Linked DNA regions of Ovis aries. The protein of the gene in region 1 purifies or fractionates together with the protein of each later gene. This does not show direct contact. Links are inferred from orthologs where the notes say so. Each region holds a gene or a part of one and is shown on either strand. Other genes may lie near its edges. The genes, in order: SART3 and LSM8.

The links.
Region 2: the proteins of SART3 (region 1) and LSM8 purify together in Homo sapiens (affinity purification with mass spectrometry; 4 studies listed by BioGRID and IntAct, counting the BioPlex papers as one, with this or other methods). This does not show direct contact. The link is inferred for Ovis aries from reciprocal best matches to the Homo sapiens genes SART3 and LSM8.

What each region holds. Positions count from the first base shown.
Region 1 is NC_056070.1:64,530,949-64,535,528, reverse strand, and holds the start of SART3 (squamous cell carcinoma antigen recognized by T-cells 3), read right to left. Parts: upstream 2,868-4,580; 5' UTR 2,847-2,867; coding exon 2,535-2,846; intron 1-2,534. Other genes in the region: iron-sulfur cluster assembly enzyme ISCU, read left to right, coding at 4,246-4,359. UniProt on the Homo sapiens protein: U6 snRNP-binding protein that functions as a recycling factor of the splicing machinery. Promotes the initial reassembly of U4 and U6 snRNPs following their ejection from the spliceosome during its maturation.
Region 2 is NC_056057.1:84,400,782-84,403,802, reverse strand, and holds part of LSM8 (LSM8 homolog, U6 small nuclear RNA associated), read right to left. Parts: intron 988-3,021; coding exon 860-987; intron 1-859. UniProt on the Homo sapiens protein: Plays a role in pre-mRNA splicing as component of the U4/U6-U5 tri-snRNP complex that is involved in spliceosome assembly, and as component of the precatalytic spliceosome (spliceosome B complex).

The DNA.
Region 1 (4,580 bases):
GCCGATCTAGTCCGGTCTCAGAACATCGCCACGGACAAAGGACGCTTCAGGGAAAGAGGCGGCCTAGCCATCGTGCAAGTGCTCTGCAACAGGTTTCCTCTCGCCCTGACAGCACGACCTGCACGGAGAGGTGACAGAGGCGCCTGGTGGGACCACACTCGGCCCAATCACGGGAAGGGACCACGAGGTGCCGCTCCTAGTTTCAGCCACGACCACACACACAGCGGGACATCTCCGCTTCTGTTATCTGGACAGATTTCACAGCTGACTGTGAGCTTTCATAAAAACACTTGGGGTCAGAAGTGGAATTCAAACACGACAAGGCCGAGCACTTCGCGGGCCTCTCTGGAAGTTACTGACCATCACACTCCACCAGGAGAGTCGTTACAGCAAGAACTAGAGGCCGGGATTAAGAGGACATGGGAGGGAGTTTTGGGAAAACTGGAAAAGTCCATTTCTGGACCCCAGGAAGAAGATAAAGCCAAAGGCTCTTCAGTTCACCATCACCTGCCGGATCCCATCCTGTGCGGTGGCCTGAGGTAGGGTTGGCAAGTACACACCACCAGTGGCCAGGACACCTCTGCCCAGACCCGTCCTCCACTTTAGTAAGCAAAATACCCTCACTGAGGGTTTAATCGCTCTGCTTCCGAGCCTCCCCTTCCCCTCAACAGGTAATTCTATTTCCCCAACTAAGCAAGATAAGGGCTCACTGAAAGGCCAAAGGCCAGAGAGACAGACTGCCACCAGGACAGGGTCACAGGCGGCCTGCCACCTGACATTACACTGCAACTGCCAAATGAGTAAGAGAATGAATGGACTGCGGCAGGCTTGTTTATAGAAGGCAGGAAGGGTAACCACCGGCCTACCCCTGGCTGGTTCAGACGGGATGACAAATGAGACAGATATACCGAAAGAAGATACAACTATTTCACAACTTAGCAGGAACGTCACCACCAGAGAGGACATTATAAGGAATCTCACACCCAGCCAAGTTAACTGAGAAACCCAGGCTACCAACCCCACATCACTAACTGATTTCACACCCACTGTGGCATTCGGTCTACAGACAACCTGGAAAAGTTCAAATGCCCTTAGGCCTGACTCTGACCAAAACACTTCATCAGTCCTTTTGAGACTCTGTGTCCTCGTCCGTAAAATGAGATGGGAGCTCCATCTCTTCCCCTCCAAGACTACTCCACTCTCTCCCCTCCCTGTCCTGAGACCCACCATGTGGACCACATCCATGGGGTCTCTGGGTCTCGGGGTTCCAGCAGGATTTGCCCAACAGGCCATGTGGAAGCGAGGCACTGAAGTAGGTCAGGGTACTTCTTGCCCACCCTCCTTCCTGATGGGAAACGGGGGCTACCTCCCTGGAACAAACATCTCAACTCCTCTCAGGGATCCTCTCCACAAACTATCTAGAAAACCAGTCACTCCATCACCTCTACAGGACTAAAGTGGACACCTAAAGGTCCTGCTACTACTAGCCCTGGGAAACCAAACCTTTGCTCCTGACTTCCCTGCCCCAGACTCAACAGTCTCTCCATTGCTGTGCTGTGCCCAGTCTTGTCCGACTCTTTGTGACCCCACGGACAGTAGTCTGGCGGGCTCCTCTGTCCATGGGATTGCTCAGCCAAGAATCCTGGAGTGGGTTGCCATTTCCTTCTCCAGAGGATCCTCCTGACCCAAGGATTGGATCCATCTCTCCTGCACTGTCAGGCGGATTCTTCACCACTGAGCCACCTGGGAGGCCCAGTCTCTTTATGGACCTTTATTCCAAACTCTCCTAACTTGAATGTGCCACCTACTTCCTGCTGGGATCCTAGATTACATAGGAGACACCAACACCTGTACCTTCTAAAGTTACAGATTAGAAATCACATAGCTACTATTGCCAGGCCCCGAGCCCTGATTACCGTTAGGACAATTCTCTGGGCGGGAACCGTTTGTCCCAGTTTACAGAGTGGAGGATGAGAGACGTTATAATATTGGCCCCAGCACACACGGGTGTGGAAGAGCTAGAACTGGGGCCTTAGCCTCCAGACGCTATTCCGTTTCTATTATCACCGTCACGGTCACTATTTTCCCTACCACGCCAGAGCTCCTTATCTTCGTCATTCCTACAAGCAAACTACTCTTCTTGGAGGAAAATAATCTTATTTCTAGGCCTGGACACAGTTGACCCGTATGGCTAAGAGCGGGAGTTGCGGAGTCGATTCAAAGTTCAAAGCCTGACTCGCCACTTGCACTAAGTGTAATGGTGACAAGAGAATTCCCTCCACCGGGAGCCTCAGGGTCCTCCCACAAAACGGGAAATACAGCAATTCCCTCGCCGGGTTCTGGCGAGGGTTCAATAGGATAACACTTGCGAAGCACCTGGCGAGCAGTAAGCGCTCCGAGGACCGGAGACGCGCTGGGACACTGCGATTTGGAGGCTTTGGCGCTTTATATTACTTCCGAGGACCACGGAGGTGGGCCGGGGCCTGGGAACCCGAGGGAGAGAGCCCGCCGCCGCCGCCCACGCCCGCGCCCACCTGCTCCTCCAGCCGCTCTATCTCCAGCTGATTCTTCTCCTCTTCGTCGTACCCCCACTCGTACTCCCCAGGGGAGCTCTCGGCTGAGGAAGCCATGGCGTACTCCTCATCTCCATCGCTCTCACTCACGCCTTCCTCCTGCTGGTCCCACTCTGGCCCCATGGTCTTGTACGTCGCGGCGGCCACGGCCCGCGATAACACCTTCCTCCTCGCCCGAGCCGCCTTAGCCTCATCCTCCTCTCCTTCGGCCTCGGGCCCGGCCTTGGGCTCAGCCTCCGCTTCAGAAGCCGATGCTGCGGCCGCCGTCGCCATCTTGGACTTCCAGAGACTCCCGGGTCCTCACTTGGCCGCCAAAGACCCGCAGTAGTTGGAGCTGCCCGCGGCGCGCGCCTGGTCAAAATCCCGCCCGTCTGCCACCTGAAGAGAAACTATGCGCCTCGGATGACATGGAAATCTCGAAATACACGAGATTCATGTTATTTTATATACTTTCAGTAGCTCTTGTTCGAATAAAAAAGCTCACCAACAGGGCATGCGTTTCGGCACAACGTCGGACAGCAGTTGGGTCCTTAGGCAGGAAGTGGAAGCCATAGAGGCAGCCACTGAGTGAGCGTGATGGTTGTAGTTAAGGGTTTGGCGCCATCTTGAGAAGGTCAAAAATGATTCTTGGAATAAATATCTTACCACCTAGTCTGACCTGGCGCGTGAGTCAGTCTCCCCAGCAACTGAGCCTCAAACGCGCAAAAAAGTCTTAAGTCCTCAGGGAAGGATCGATTGCACCATTCATGAGAATAACTCATTTCCCAGAGATTCCTTCTCTTTATCTAATGCCTGGCGCCTAGCACTTAAATACACGTGAGTTTTGATTTTATAGGATCATATTCTGCAAACCAGTATCAATAAATTACATTAATAAATATTTACTTAGAATCTCTTCATTGCTATATCTTGTGATTTAATCTGTGCCAGTTTGCTTTTTAATAGAGACATAAACATATACAATTTTTAAAATCAGAGCAAAGTATTCTTTCCTTTAGTTAAGCTTCTCACTTTAGTGGTAGAAAAGCCTTGGTGGGTCTATTTATTGCCTTGCTCCCTCAGTAGCAAGCTTAATTGTGTCGTCTTGGGTTGTTTTCCCAAAGCACCCTGACAAAAAGTAGATACTCAACACAAGATTTGCTCAATGGATGAAGAACTGTCCTTGAATTAGTACAAAAAAGATCGAGGTTTACAATGACACTATGTTTCACTTAGCAGCACACAGCCAGTTAGGAGCAGAAATGGGATTCTAACTCAGGACTGTTCAAGTCAGAATCCCAACTGGGCCCCTCTGGGCAACCTAGGGCAAGTTACTAAACCGTTCTGATCCTCAAATTCCTAAGCTGCAAAATAGAGCCAAGAAGGGTGGACTGGTTGAGCCTCTGCGCCGAAATAGGCGGTGGGGCTTTGTCAACGCAAAGCTGGGTCCTGATTTCCTGCTCAAGGATCCTCAAGATTCAGAACCCAGCTCGGTGGACCAGCCCTCGAACGATTTCAAACCTTTAGGCTCCGCGCCGCGGGAACAAAACGGGGACACGTGAACGCAGCGGGAGGGCGCAGGCGCAAGGTCGCCGGTACTTTAGAGGGTGCGCGCTCCCAGCAGGGAGCCGACTCGCGCACGCGCCCCTCCCCTCGGCCGCGCGCTCCACCTGCGCAGGCGCAAGCCCTCAAGATGGCGGCGGCTGGAGCGGGCCGTCTGAGGCGGGCGGCGTCGGCCCTGTTGCTCCGGCCCCCGCGCCTGCCCGCCCGGGAGCTCTCAGCTCCCGCTCGGCTCTATCACAAGAAGGTAAGAGCGGCCCGGGGGTCCGCACCGGGCGGGGGGGCGGGCGGGAGTGCGAGGACCCCCCAGAGGACTTAGGGGTCCTAGCGGAAGCCCAGCCTAGTGGCCCTCCCCGCTCTGCGCGGCCCTGGAACCCCGACTGCAGCCCAGGGCCCTGGCCGCCCCCAGCCCTGGATGGAGGGGCCTTCCTCTCAAGAGGCCGCCTCGAATGGCTTTCCCTCGCTGCG
Region 2 (3,021 bases), on another chromosome or scaffold:
AATACAGCAGCTTCTAGCCACATGTGACTATTAAAATTAAGCACAATTAAGTAAAATCTAAAATTCATTTCTTCAGTCACACCAGCTACTTTTCAAGTACCCAGTGGCCACTCACTTGGTTAGTACCTACTACAGTGGACAATGCAGATATACAACAGATATGTAACATTCCATCATCCCCTAAAACTGTACTGGACAGTACTGCTCTACAATGTTGCACTTTTCTTATACTGTTACCACTAAAATGTATCTTCTCAAATTGTCATATCAGTGTCACAAGTTAACTGAGGCCAGGACATAAACATGGGACAGCTTAAGTGTGCCAATTATACTAAAAATTAAAAGAAAAAATGGATAAATTCAGCTATATTATAAAGCATTATTTTAAACTGTTCACACAAGAGATTTCAAAGACATTTTCAAACTCTAGCCCAGAGGTGTATTTATGTTCCTCTGAAATTAGGGATATTTTGGAAGAACATTTTAAGAACCTCCTCCAGTGAAGTATCCAATGTTAAGGCAGGGTTCTTTCTGGACCCTATTCAGGCTATTTAACTATTAGAAATATGGACAAATCTCAGTAGATAGAAACCTCTTCTCCACACAGCAAAGCAGTACACCTATTGTATACTGCTGTGTGTCAGTCACTCAGCCGTGTCCAGTTCTTTGTGACCCTATAGGCTATAGCCCACCAGGTTCCTCTATCCTTGGAATTCTCCAGGCAAGAATACTGGAGTGGGTTCCCATTTCCTTCTCCAGCGGATCTTGCTGACCCAGGGATTGAACCCAGGTCTCCTGCATTGCAGGCGAATGCCTTTACAGTCTGAGCTACTTGCCTAAAAACAGACATTTTACTTACACATTGTCACCTCTTACGATGTATAACCCTAGTACCACTTGTTCTACTCCCTGTGAAGAGCTGAACACTCGTTCATGGCTTTCATCCAGTATCAAATTAATGGTCTGGTCAAAACCTTTCAGTGTTCCCTGTAAAGAAAATATTCAAGAGAAAAAAGACAAAGTATCTGAATATGTAAATTCAACCACACCATTTTAGCTGCCAGGTATTCCAATAAGAGGACCTATTTTAAATATACATACAAGTTTACTATAAAATATCTCTTCATGACCAAGAGTACTCTTGGCACAAAACTTACCTCTTGGTTTTTTAAGGGGGAGGGGGGCACCAAGCCTCTGCTAGTGTGCAGAGCTATTGAGAATTACAAAGGACCCCATGTATTAGTTACTTCCAAGGAAGTAGCATAAAACTTCAGGCTATCCAGAAGTGAATATTCTAAAGATACAAACTTAAAAAAGGAAAACTTAAGGGAAATACTCCCATACACAGCAGCTATAGTAATATAACAGTATCATACATGTTTAGTTCAGTTGCTCAGTCGTGTCCGACTCTTTGTGACCCCATGAATCGCAGCACACCAGGCCTCCCTGTCCATCACTAACTCCCAGAGTTCACTCAGACTCACGTCCATCGAGTCAGTGATGCCATCCAGCCATCTTATCCTCTGTCGCCCCCTTCTCCTGCCCCCAATCCCTCCCAGCATCAGTCTTTTCCAATGAGTCAACTCTTCGCATGAGGTGACCAGAGTAGTGGAGTTTCAGCTTCAGCATCATTCCTTCCAAAGAAATCCCAGGGCTGATCTCCTTCAGAATCTTACATGCCAGTAAACATGCTACACATTATCTCAACCAATCTCTACCCTTTGTAGTAGATATTATATGTATTCCCACTTCAGAGAAGAAAAATTGAGGCACAGAGAAATAATCTCGCATGGTTTCATGGCTGGAAATTAGCAGAGCTAGAATCCAAACCATGAAAGGCTAGCTTCAAAGCCAGACCACTGAACTTCTATGTTACACTACTATGAACAAACAAATATAATTTACCACTTTTTAGAGATTCAAATCAATCCCATAAATATACACAAACTTCAAGTGGTAGTAGTAATAGCTAAGGCTAGATGAGTACTTAGTATTTGCCAAAGTGTTCTATGGGCTGCATATGGATTTACATATTTAATCCTCCTAATAACTCAGTAACAGTAGACACAAATATGATCACAACAACTGGAAAGTTCTAGAACTTGAAGGAAATATTCAGAGTTTTACAGAAGAATCATGGCTTCTAATAAAGGAAGACATGGGCATATTTCAACACAGTATCTCAGATGCTATTTCAGTTTCTGAAGAACATCAACTTATACTGATGGCTTTGGTTGGTTAAATCTCTTATTAAAGTTTCATGTTTTAAAACTCAAAATATGTAAAATTAGACCAAGATAAAGAGAAAATGTTAACTTAAAATTTGGAAAAGAAGCAAAATGTGGAGTACTTACTATACTAAATTAGTTAGCAAATAGTTGTTACCACACTCATACACAGCTTCTTGGCTTCATCTTACAAGTAACTATTTTATCAAGTTTCAGTGGACAGAGGAGTGAGGTAGACTACAATCCATGGGGTTGCAAAGAATTGGACACAACTGAGTAGACACACACATTCTATCAAGTGGGCTCTCCTGGTGGCTCAGCATCGAAGAATCTGCCTGCCAATGCAGTATGCTGCTGCTGCTGCTGCTGCTGCTGCTTAGTCGCTTCAGTCGTGTCCGACTCTGTGCAACCCCAGAGATGGCGCCCACCAGGCTCCCCCGTCCCTGGGATTCTCCAGGCAAGAACACTGGAGTGGGTTGCCATTTCCTTCTCTAATGCATGAAAGTGAAAAGTGAAAGTGAAGTCGCTCAGTCGTGTACGACTCTTCGAAACCCCATGGACTACAGCCTACCAGGCTCCTCCGCCCATGGGATTTTCCAGGCAAGAGGACTGGAGTGGGGTGCCATTGCCTTCTCCCTCCAATGCAGTATATGTGGGTTCAATTCCTGGGTTGGGAAAATCCCCTGGAGAAGGAAATGGCAACCCACTCCAGTATTCTTGCCTGGGAAATCCCATGGACAGAGGAGCCTGGTGGGCTACCGTCCATGGGGTCATAAAGAGTAGGACATAACTT